2 linked regions of the Arabidopsis thaliana genome follow. The protein of the gene in region 1 purifies or fractionates together with the protein of each later gene. This does not show direct contact. Each region holds a gene or a part of one and is shown in the gene's direction. Other genes may lie near its edges.

Region 1 (6,530 bases):
AGATGCAAGAAACAAGAAGCTAGCTTGAGAACACATAGTATTGGTATTTAATGAATAAATAATAAGAATATGACCTAAATGATGATATGTCAGTTATTATTATGATGATTTGTAATCAACTAATGAGGCGAAATCAGTTGTACTCAAAACTTCTTCATACTAAAACTCTAATGTTGAAAATTCTACATTGCAAATCAATTTGAATTTTAAACTAACCTAGAAGAGTTGTGTAAGTTCTTTTACAATATATATAGGTTGGGGTTCGATTTCTAGAGATAGTGAATTATTGAAAATTAATGAATATAAGTATAATTAAAAGTTAGCGTGGTGGTTTTGTTTTTTTGTTATACATTGATCAGTAGGAATAAAGTGAGCGTTTGGTTATATATTTTGGTCGCTTTTGATGACGTTTCTCGTTCACTTTCAGGTATTATGCTCACTATTCACCACGTCTCATAAAGAGGGGACAAACAAAAATCACATAATTAGTGGTAGACATAAATTGCCAACACAAATTAAACTCGTGTGGAGATAAATATTTGACTTACAAAGATGTTGATTATTTCTTCAGCTCCAAGGGATATTCTAAGGAATTTCTTACAAATCGAGTACTGTTATACTGATTTTAAATGCTACTCATAGCACGATCTAGTAAAATTTGATTTCAAAAATAAGTTATAAGAATAATTAAGTGCAGGGTTATTGTCATAAATTTGCTTCTGTTATAATAAATATTATTTATTATTCAAAGTAGGCCAAAGGTCCAAATAAAACAAAAATCAAATTGAGAATAGCATCATCAAACCAATAAGATCCGATCATATCCAAATATAGAACTTGCCCATCACGTTATCTTTCTTCTTCTATACGTTTTGGCGGCATAGTTTATTATTTTATCATTCTAAGTACTGGTAGAAAACATGGTGGAAACTACCAAATGATCAGCATCTGACCGTACACAGCAATCACTACTACCGTCGGTTACTGGACCAGAAATATTACTTAAGCACTCTTGTCAAGACATTAGTCAGACATTACAAGTAAAATAGTGCTTAAGATAGCTGTATTTTACTTGTAACTTTGTATCATTCTATTTTGTGAATCTAATATATATGTACATTTATGTTGAATTTGTTTAATCTGATTTCTTGTCTTTTTCTTTTTTTCTTAATGTGTTTTTTTTTTTCTTGTATTTCTATTCTATTCTAACAGCTATCACCTATATTATTACACAGTCATGTCCACTACCAAGTCACCATTATCGTTATCATTATTCACTGTTATAACCGTTATAACCGTGTATATTACCTACATTTGTTACTAAGAGAGCTATCACGGATAACGTGTTTATAACACATGAAATGTTTCATTATCTAAAATCTTTAAAAACAAATAAAAAAATATTATATGTATTTTGCTGGTAAACGGTGTTGTGAACCATTTACCAAGATCTTGTAATGCAACATTGTATACCATCAAAATAGTTTTTGCAAATCGATATAAACCATTTACAATTTCAAAATAATAAATTTTAAAAAGAAGGTTGATATTAGTTTCTGTTGAACATCAAATTAGTGACTAATAAATAATTCTTCATAAAATTAGATGAACAATTTTAATCCCGAATTTTTAAAAATCATTACCTAATTAATAAATGAATGATATTATTCCGACAATGGCAAATATGTAATAATCAGATTTCCGAAAATATTTCTGACCTTGATATGATGATATTAAAAAAAAAAACCTAGTGACAAGACAACACATAGCCAAAAAAATCTTTTGGGTATCGTTTTGAATTTCAAAGACGCTCTCGTCCTTTCCCAAAATATTTCAAACACCCGCCTCTTCAGTATTTCGTTTCCCACTCTTTTTATTCCCAATTCTCTAGAACCTTCCTCTCTCTCCATCTCTCAAAATCTCGGAAACACCATTTTCTCACTCTCTGATCTTTTTTCCCCCAAAAATGGCGCGTGACATCCAACTCCCCTGCGACGGCGACGGCGTATGCATGCGATGCAAATCCAACCCTCCGCCTGAAGAATCTCTCACTTGCGGCACGTGCGTTACACCGTGGCACGTGTCCTGTCTCTCTTCACCTCCCAAAACCCTAGCTTCCACTCTACAGTGGCATTGTCCTGATTGCTCCGGCGAAATCGATCCTCTTCCTGTTTCCGGCGGTGCTACTGGTTTCGAATCTGCTGGGTCAGATCTTGTAGCTGCGATTCGTGCGATTGAGGCTGATGAGTCGTTGAGTACTGAAGAGAAAGCTAAGATGAGGCAACGGTTACTGAGTGGTAAAGGTGTTGAGGAGGATGATGAAGAAGAGAAGAGGAAGAAGAAGGGGAAAGGGAAGAATCCGAATCTGGATGTGTTATCTGCTCTTGGAGATAACTTGATGTGTTCTTTCTGTATGCAGTTGCCTGAGAGACCTGTGACGGTTCGTTCTCTTTGTTCTTATGCTTTGTTGATAGATCTCTTTTGGTGAATCTGTTAAACCTGGAATCTTATTTAGGGTGTCTTCTTAAGTGGGGTGTGATTGTTTATTATCCACTTGGTTTACTGATTTGAGCTTGTGACATAGAACACTAAAGCTGCGTGATACAAAGGCATAAACTTTATTGACATCATAAATGGTTCCTTTAACTGTTTTACAAAGGCTTTGACTTCATTGATCTTTACCATTTGTGACAGAATGTGTCAATGTTACCTACATTTATAGTTCATTGTTGTTGAGTTATCCTGTTATTGGGTTGGATTATTTAGTTTGAGTAATCTATTGTGTTGTTGAAAATTGTTAGGATTGGTATGTGGATGGTTGATCTATTTTATGAAACCATAAACGTTGCTTTTTATGAGTATTTAATATGGTGTGTACTGTACCTCTTTTCAAAGTAAGGATTATTGATGAAGATGGAGACTATTTATCTTGGGCTGATGGAAATCTTGTGTGTTTGTTTTTCAGAAACCATGTGGGCACAACGCTTGCTTAAAATGTTTTGAGAAATGGATGGGGCAGGGAAAGAGAACTTGTGGTAAATGCCGCAGCATAATTCCTGAAAAAATGGCTAAGAATCCCCGTATCAACTCGTCTCTTGTTGCTGCCATTCGATTAGCAAAAGTCTCTAAAAGTGCTGCTGCGACCACTTCAAAGGTCTTTCATTTCATCAGCAACCAAGACCGACCAGATAAAGCATTTACAACCGAGCGTGCAAAGAAAACTGGCAAGGCAAACGCTGCTAGTGGAAAGATTTATGTTACAATACCACCAGATCATTTTGGTCCTATTCCAGCTGAAAATGACCCTGTCAGGAACCAAGGTCTTTTGGTTGGAGAATCCTGGGAGGACAGACTCGAGTGTAGGCAGTGGGGTGCTCATTTCCCACATGTTGCTGGCATTGCTGGACAATCTACTTATGGCGCTCAATCTGTAGCACTCTCTGGAGGTTATAAGGATGATGAGGATCATGGAGAATGGTTTCTATACACAGGAAGGTCTGCCTTTCATTACTCCTAGATTTTGGTCCATTTGATTTATTCTACGGATTGGGTATAGAAACAATACTCTTTATTATGCGTCTCGAATCAATAATCTTGATTTATTATTGTTCCTTATATATTTTTGTATATTTTAGTTCTCTCATGCGTATAGAAATAGCTATTCTCCAATTTACTGATGGACATGTCTCTTTTTCTCCTGATTATGTGGGGATGTGTCACACAGTGGGGGTAGAGATCTCAGTGGCAACAAAAGGACTAACAAGGAGCAGTCTTTTGACCAAAAGTTTGAGAAGTCTAATGCAGCATTAAAACTCAGCTGCAAATTGGGGTATCCTGTTCGAGTTGTCAGGTTAGCTGTTATTTGAGCACAACTCCATTGAATGCAACGTCTTTATTACTCTTCAACTTGAAGCTTTGAGCATGCTTTAGTGATCCTAACTCTTCAATTACCCTTTTCCATTTATGATCATCAGGTCTCACAAGGAGAAGCGTTCTGCATACGCCCCTGAGGAAGGAGTGAGATATGATGGGGTTTACAGGATTGAGAAGTGCTGGCGCAAAGTTGGAGTACAGGTACACATATCTAATTAATGTGAATTTTCACAGTTCTTTTTATGCATTGACCTATTCTTCTGGTTTCCATAGGGTTCTTTTAAGGTCTGTCGTTACCTGTTCGTTAGATGTGACAATGAGCCAGCTCCATGGACCAGGTTTGGTCTACTTCTTAAAATCGTGGGCCTTTTCTCCATATATAGTTGCCATTTAAGTTAATGATGTGATATTTTGCAGTGATGAGAATGGAGATCGTCCAAGACCTATCCCTAATATTCCAGAGCTTAATATGGCCACCGACCTGTTTGAGAGAAAAGAAACTCCATCATGGGATTTTGATGTAAGTTCCAAGACATCTCAGTTTTAACAGTTCTTTATCTGGACCCACTGATAATATAGGCCTACTTGACCAGGAAGGTGAGGGTTGTTGGAAATGGATGAAGCCGCCACCTGCAAGTAAAAAGTCAGTGAATGTTTTGGCTCCTGAGGAGAGGAAAAATTTGAGGAAAGCCATAAAGGCGGCACACTCGAATACCATGAGGGCAAGACTTCTGAAAGGTCAGTGTGTCCAAATTCTCTACCTCTGCTGTTAGAACGTTTATAGTTTTTTTCCCTTTTTGCCGAATCAGTTCTAGTACATTATGTATATATTTCTAGACTGCATGAGAACTTTTAGAATCAGTAAGTCAATGTTTCCAAATTGGTTCTGCTAAATATTAATATGAACCACATATATCCAGCTCTTTCTTTATATAGCTTTATTCCCGAATCCATCTAAACTGTCATTGGTATTTTGTTGATGCAGAATTTAAGTGCCAGATCTGTCAGCAAGTGTTGACTCTTCCTGTGACAACACCCTGTGCTCATAACTTCTGCAAGGCTTGCTTAGAAGCGAAATTTGCTGGGAAAACTCTTGTGAGAGAGAGAAGCACAGGTGGACGGACACTACGCTCAAGGAAGAATGTCCTGAACTGCCCTTGTTGCCCAACAGACATATCTGATTTTCTGCAGAACCCTCAGGTGAAACATCATCTATCTTCTTCTTCTTTCATATCATATCATATGAATACAAGTGCAAATTGCATCAGCATTGATTTTGACTCTGCTAGAATAAGATGAAGTTGGTTCAATGGTAATATGTCTGATTTTAGTTCGTTATCTGCAAGCATACACTTATTTGATGCTTTCCATTCATGGAAAGTGAAACTTTAGCAGATCTGATCATACGATAGTTACCATTTTTATGATCACAGAAATTGAGGAATAATCTCTTTGGTGAAATGTGTGTAAACAGGTCAACAGAGAAGTAGCGGAGGTGATAGAGAAGCTAAAGACCCAGGAAGAGGACACCGCAGAGCTTGAAGATGAAGATGAAGGTGAATGCTCAGGCACCACCCCTGAAGAAGATTCTGAGCAACCGAAGAAAAGGATCAAGTTGGACACTGACGCAACAGTTTCTGCGACCATCAGGTGAAGTTGGTACCAAAGAACTCTTTAGTAAAAAAAAACTCTAGTGCCTTATTTTGTACGCAATATTTGTGGAACGTACCTATTGCGATGTGTTATTTTGGATCTTACAACAACTAAGTTATTAATATGGAACGTAAACTATGGTTCTCAGGTTTTCAATTTTTCTCTTATTTTGGTGTCTCTGGTTTATAACTCGGATAGGTTGGTTTTGATAATACCATCAGGTACTAAGCAGTGAATTCTCAATTTAGTATAGAATGGATGTTGTTTCATTTTGTCTAATCTAATTTAGATTCAATTTAGGTTCGACTGAGTTAATTTAATCAGCAAATTCAAAAAACATGTTCATCATATGTACATTTTAGCAGCAGGTTAGTTTCCTGTATCCCTTTTTAAGTAATGAAAATACAGAAAAGTCATAACTACCACATTATGAGCATCTCTGTACAAGAAAGTATTTAAATCAGTCATTTTATAAACAATCACAAGGAAACTATAGCATTTCCTTCGTTACAGTCAAAATTTTCTGTATTGATAAATGATAATGATTCTATTTGAGGATTCCGCCTGGTCATTGGATTAGAGATCGTTTGAGGTTGACAAGCTTAGTTTGGTTTCAAAATGCAACCCCAAAGTTTGCTTTTGTTACATGGCTGATGGTGAAAAATAGGCTTGCAACAGGGGACCGAATGAGTAAATGGAAACAAAATGTAGACTCGAGCGGTGTGTTTTGCAAAATTCACATAGAGACCAGAGACCATTTATTTTCCCAATGTCCCTTTTCAAGCAAGGTTTGGGAGGAGCTTACACAAGGGATTCTCTTAAATGACTTCTCGGCAAAATGGCAAGATATTATGAGGCTCGTTGCAGGAAAAGACTTAGACATAATGAGCGGTTCATTCTCAAGTATGTCCTATAGAACACAATTCACTCCATATGGCAAGAAAGAAATGATAGAAGACACGACGAACTGTCTTCGACAACGGAGAGGATTGTTAAGTTGATAG
Region 2 (5,750 bases), about 21 Mb from region 1:
TAGCTTGATACAATTAATTAATGTTTAACAACAAGGTTTAAAGGCAACGAGAGCTATATCTAATAAGATGTGGTCTAAGACATATGAGACCTGATACATGGAGAATCACTCATTTATAAATTTCTGGTATATTAACGACATTTTGTGTCTAAAAAATTAGCTATTATAATGAATATGGTCTAAAATTGAATTTAAATTAACAAAACTATCTATAAAGTTTGAAACGATCTTACCTAATCAAAACAAATAATTATCTAAGCAATCTGTTTTGTTTTGTTCGGATTATATAGGTCCCCAAAACGTCATACAATAAAACTTGCTTAAATATTTTGTTTTTTTGTTACATTAAAAAATTAGTATCTTGTTGTGTTTTTGTTTGGTTTGAAAAGCTGAAAATGTGTGAAGGAGAAGAAGGAAGCTATAAAAAAGAGTTTAGGTACAAAAGTAAAAAGTTATTATGTCGGTGGGTTCATTAAAAGAAACCAAAAAACATAAACAAGTAATTTTGTTTTGGCATAACGAAGCATCTTCTTCTTCTTCCTTGTATTTATTATCCATTTCCAGAGATTCTCCCTTGTGAGATAACAACGAAGAACGAAAGAGAGAGAGAGAGAGAGAGATATGATGGACGGCGTTGAAGGCGGCACGGCGATGTACGGTGGTCTCGAGACGGTGCAATACGTACGGACGCATCATCAACATCTGTGCAGAGAAAACCAGTGTACCTCTGCTCTTGTCAAACACATCAAAGCTCCTCTTCATCTCGTAAGCTTCTCCAATCTACCACTAATTTCACCCTTTTCGTACCATTTTCTCCATGATCCGTCAATTTTGATCCCAACCATCGATTTAGGGTTTTTTCCCCCAAATCTCTGTTTAACGATTGATTATAATTGATTTTTTTTAGGTTTGGTCACTTGTACGGAGATTTGATCAGCCGCAGAAATACAAACCGTTTGTGAGCAGATGTACAGTAATCGGTGATCCTGAAATCGGCAGTCTTAGAGAAGTCAATGTTAAATCTGGTCTTCCTGCAACAACATCTACTGAGAGATTAGAACTTCTTGATGATGAAGAACACATCCTCGGTATCAAAATCATCGGTGGTGATCACAGACTTAAGGTACAGCGAGAGAAATCAAATCTCATTGATGTTTGTTTATATGCAGATTCTCATTGATTGTTTGTTTGCAGAATTACTCGTCGATTTTGACGGTTCATCCGGAGATAATCGAGGGAAGAGCAGGAACGATGGTGATTGAATCGTTTGTAGTTGATGTTCCTCAAGGTAACACAAAGGATGAGACTTGCTACTTTGTTGAAGCACTTATCAGATGTAATCTCAAGTCACTAGCAGATGTTTCTGAAAGATTGGCTTCTCAGGACATTACTCAGTGAACTACATAATCAATGAACAAGGGCATTGAAGTGAAGTATCAATTCCAGTTTGTGATATAATCAATATTCTTCAGGATTTTTTTGGTTTGGCCTAGATATATATATAGATATCTATCCTCGGTAATGACCAGTCTAAAAAGATGTACATATTGTCCCAATGGTGAAGTTTTGATGTAAGATATCTCCTGGTGGTTTGTTATTTGTAGATATTTTTGTAAACAATGTAAATGTGAATGGTTTATGATGTATAATATATAGTTCACAAAAGATGTTTCTGTAGACTTCAGATTCCACTTCTCTATTGAACAGAACCTATGATTGGATGCTGAGAACTTGTAAAGAATCTGAGGCAGAAAGTTGAAAAACTGTGTCAATTTCATTAACTTGAAAAGATGAGCATAAATTGGGAGAGAGAGAGAGAGACAAAGATTTTGAATTGAGGTTTAACGGTAAAACACACAAAACCTATTCCCCTCTGTTTCCAATTTTCATCTAAACAAACAGGTACATATTTGAATGTAATATTGTATACAGACCAGGGGTAAAACAGGAACTAAAGAAGGCTAACAATCGAGTCGAACCCTCTATGTGAAGCCACAGGTTTAGTGCAAATTGTAATAAGTTGTTCAGAGAGACTCTTGACTGAAACAAATTGTGAAGCAGATTCGATTTTAAAATCAAAATTTGAGTGTCGAGCGGGAAAGTAAAAGTTCCGCTCCAATCTTCTAATCTTTTCGTATCTAGCGGGAAATTTCTCAGCAGGTGACTTTCATAATCGCAGTTTTCGTCGATTCTCTTTTCCGATTTTACGATTCCTCTCTCTCTCTCATGGTGCGATTTCTCCAGCAGTAAAAATCAATGGCGAGAACCAAGCATCGCGTTACCAGGTCACAACCTCGGAATCAAACTGGTATCTTAAATCTGCTTTCTCTTTCAATTTTTACTTCTGATTTTACCCAGAATTTTAGGTTTTTTATTTCGATTTTGTTAACCCTAGATTTCGAATCTGAAATTTGTAGATGCCGCCGGTGCTTCATCTTCTCAGGCGGCAGGTCCAACTACGGTACGGCATCTTTTTCCGTCTTAGGGTTTCCAATGTTTCTTCCTTTTATCGTTATGATCAAATTTGTTTATCTATCGAAATTGAAGACCCCGACAAGGAGAGGCGGTGAAGGTGGAGATAATACTCAACAAAGTGAGTTTTTTATATTTGAAGTCTTTTTTTTCCCTCTTTTCATCTCTTTTGTTTGTGAAGTTATTCTTTTGTAACATCTGCAGCAAATCCTACAACTTCACCAGCTACTGGTACAAGGGTAAGATTTTTGTGACCATTGCTTATGAACTGCTTCAACTTTGATTTCGTTATTAAGCTGACAAAATTCTCGTTTTGGTTTGTCAAGAGAGGGGCTAAGAGATCCAGACAGGCTATGCCACGAGGTTTGTTTTAAAAAAAAAACCAATCTCTTGTGATATCCCTGAGAATACAGGACACTTAGTGTGTTTAAAACTAATCTTCGGTGTTGTCCTTGTAGGCTCACAGAAGAAGTCTTATCGATACAGGCCAGGAACCGTTGCTCTAAAAGAGATTCGCCATTTCCAGAAGCAGACAAACCTTCTTATTCCGGCTGCCAGTTTCATAAGAGAAGTTAGTTACTCTTTTTCTTACCAGCCATAATAAGTTTCACAGCTTAACAATATTCATATATACTAACAGAGGCACAAGCCTTTTGGTGTTTAATGTGGCTAGTTTTAGGATTTGCACACCCCACACATATCTGAGCATCAATGCAGTGTACATAGTGAGTGATATAGCAATTTAACTAAAATTCAGAGTAATCGTGAGGCCAACCCTCCTTGTTTAAGGAGTGTGTAATCTAGTTTGTCTTTGAGGTTATGAGCTCATAGATTCAGAACCATATGATTCCTGTAGCTACAAAACTCAACATGAATCGTCAGTGATGTGGAAATGCTGATTTGTGTTACAAACAAACTATTTTACATTGTTTTTCCAGGTGAGAAGTATAACCCATATGTTGGCCCCTCCCCAAATCAATCGTTGGACAGCTGAAGCTCTTGTTGCTCTTCAAGAGGTACCAATCCTTCAACTTTTTCTTTATACGAATGTATGAATATAGATATAGAGATAGTCACACATTTCAACTAATGTCATTCCCCTTGATGACCAATCAACCTAATCACACAAATTCTTTGTGGTAGGCGGCAGAAGATTACTTGGTTGGTTTGTTCTCAGATTCAATGCTCTGTGCTATCCATGCAAGACGTGTTACTCTAAGTAAGTACTCTAAAAGAAGACATTTTTCAGTCTCAACTTAGGAATCACAAGCATACATTTTATATCCCTTTGAATCATTAGTTACTTGAATATCATATATAAAATGCTTATCTATATCTGTTTTTTGTTCATATCAGTGAGAAAAGACTTTGAACTTGCACGCCGGCTTGGAGGAAAAGGCAGACCATGGTGATAGAAAACTCACTCACTATTCACATCTCTTACATTGTAAGTGAGGATCGAATAGTTAACAACAAGTGTGTCGTAGGTTGTATAAGGTTATTCTCTCCTTGTCTCTTGGTGATGCATGTCCTTTTATTTTACTAAATGATCTGACCAAAACCTTCTTTTGAAACATAACTGGAAACCCGAATTTGGTTTGATTCCAATATCTAGGCTGTAAAACTTCTTTCTCTATGTGTGTTTCTATCTGCTTTTCGTTGGATCTGATTGTTTTCCATTGAGATTCCACTTGACAAAAACGTTTCTTTCGTTAAGTTCTAACTTCCAAAGGTTCATGTATATATAATTTGAAGCCTCAGTTAGAAAGGGTTGTGATTGAAAGAAGAAAAAAAAAGTAAGAGGAAGATTTGAAAGAACATGTGTTTTGGGAGGGCTTTAGTAGAAATATCTCTCAGACGAGTGACGAGTGGATTCCCAATTACAACTTGTCAAGGCATATTAAAAAGGTTGAGATATCCTTAGCACTTCAAATTTAAATAATTCATATTGATTTTTAGTGATAATTCGCATAAAACATTTGTGATATCATAGTGTTGTCACTAAAAAAAACACTATAAATTTTCGAAAAGCTCGAATTTCGAATTTGGTGATATTTATTTCATTGTCAACTCTTTTAAGTTGCCTCTTTTTCTTGGGTTCTCTATAGTCTCTTTTGTTTTGTTTTTTACATCCTTTATGATCTCTCTCTGTACATTCGTAAAAATTGAATGCAGACCGAAAAAACTAAACAGAAACGAGGATGGCAAAAGTTGGATGCGCCCATGAATCATGCAACACAATGGTCCCAAGTTCCCAACAGATTCATTCGCAAAAATTCAGAGTAGACCGAAAGAAAAAACAAATTGTAGTATTATAAAAAAAAAGAAAGAAAGAGGATGGGTCAAGTGAAGGCGTCATGAATCATGCGATGGTCCCAACAAATTAAATGAAATATAAAATCCACGTGTCATGTTCAGTTGCAACTGCATAGTTTGTTCAGTACGTTGCTGATCAACCTTTTCTTTTTTAAAGTTGATAGATAAATATAATAATAAACCGAACAAAATTTAAAAGAAGCTTTGAATAAAATTTGCGATGTGAATTAATGGAGGAATAAAGGGTATATCCTCGACGTTAAATTAATTTTATATTCATCCCTAACAAACTTTCAACTCAACTTTTGATAGTTCTAACAATATATTTCATTAAATTGACAAAATTTAATTCGATTTGTAATAGATTGGACTTCATAAATGATAATCAAGTGATTCTCCTAATGCTTTTTTTCTTCTTGGGAAAAATGAATACATATATTGACTCTTTTTTTTCATACATATTTGTACTCAACATAGTTGATTTATATCGACTTAATTATGATTTATTCATCTGCGTGTAAATATAAAACATCAAGTAGTATCATTTTAAAAAAAGCAATTAGACAAGAACATGACGGAGCAAATGATGTAATGCAACATGTCTTATGATTCTCATTGGTCCTTAAACGAAATCACTCGAGCATTGCACACATACTGACATATATTGGCTGCCACCCATAAGTTGCTAAATTAATTAATAAGAATAATATTAGTTAAATCCGATTTAAGGAAAACAAAGTACGATATACATCATACACGATTCCTTAATGTGGAAACCGACCAAACCGGTCGTTAAACTTTGCCCTTATAAATACAGAATACACTTCATGTTCTTCCCTTAAAAATCCATCATTCTCTCTTCCTCTCTGCTCTCTCTTTACCTTAAACCGTACCAAACCGTATTGATTGATAATATTGCACGGTGCGATCGTAAATCTTTGTGTACTAAGGTGTCTTTTGAG

The links.
Region 2: the proteins of VIM1 (region 1) and HTR12 purify together in Arabidopsis thaliana (affinity purification with western blotting, with the first as the bait; one study listed by BioGRID). This does not show direct contact.

What each region holds. Positions count from the first base shown.
Region 1 is NC_003070.9:21,413,339-21,419,868, reverse strand, and holds VIM1 (Zinc finger (C3HC4-type RING finger) family protein), read left to right. Parts: upstream 1-1,753; 5' UTR 1,754-1,966; coding exon 1,967-2,440; intron 2,441-2,965; coding exon 2,966-3,495; intron 3,496-3,724; coding exon 3,725-3,850; intron 3,851-3,974; coding exon 3,975-4,074; intron 4,075-4,146; coding exon 4,147-4,211; intron 4,212-4,290; coding exon 4,291-4,393; intron 4,394-4,466; coding exon 4,467-4,611; intron 4,612-4,858; coding exon 4,859-5,073; intron 5,074-5,347; coding exon 5,348-5,527; 3' UTR 5,528-5,747; exon of another isoform or gene 5,748-5,795; intron 5,796-5,826; 3' UTR 5,827-5,888; downstream 5,889-6,530. UniProt on the Arabidopsis thaliana protein: E3 ubiquitin-protein ligase. Participates in CpG methylation-dependent transcriptional regulation and epigenetic transcriptional silencing. Mediates ubiquitination with the E2 ubiquitin-conjugating enzyme UBC11.
Region 2 is NC_003070.9:141,517-147,266, forward strand, and holds HTR12 (Histone superfamily protein), read left to right. Parts: upstream 1-1,972; 5' UTR 1,973-2,160; exon of another isoform or gene 2,161-2,247; 5' UTR 2,248-2,256; coding exon 2,257-2,308; intron 2,309-2,417; coding exon 2,418-2,461; intron 2,462-2,547; coding exon 2,548-2,593; intron 2,594-2,676; coding exon 2,677-2,711; intron 2,712-2,798; coding exon 2,799-2,835; intron 2,836-2,930; coding exon 2,931-3,043; intron 3,044-3,410; coding exon 3,411-3,488; intron 3,489-3,615; coding exon 3,616-3,691; intron 3,692-3,828; coding exon 3,829-3,884; 3' UTR 3,885-3,919; exon of another isoform or gene 3,920-4,526; intron 4,527-4,647; 3' UTR 4,648-4,963; downstream 4,964-5,750. Other genes in the region: RCAR1 (regulatory component of ABA receptor 1), read left to right, coding at 622-765, 908-1,123, 1,195-1,398. UniProt on the Arabidopsis thaliana protein: Histone H3-like variant which exclusively replaces conventional H3 in the nucleosome core of centromeric chromatin at the inner plate of the kinetochore.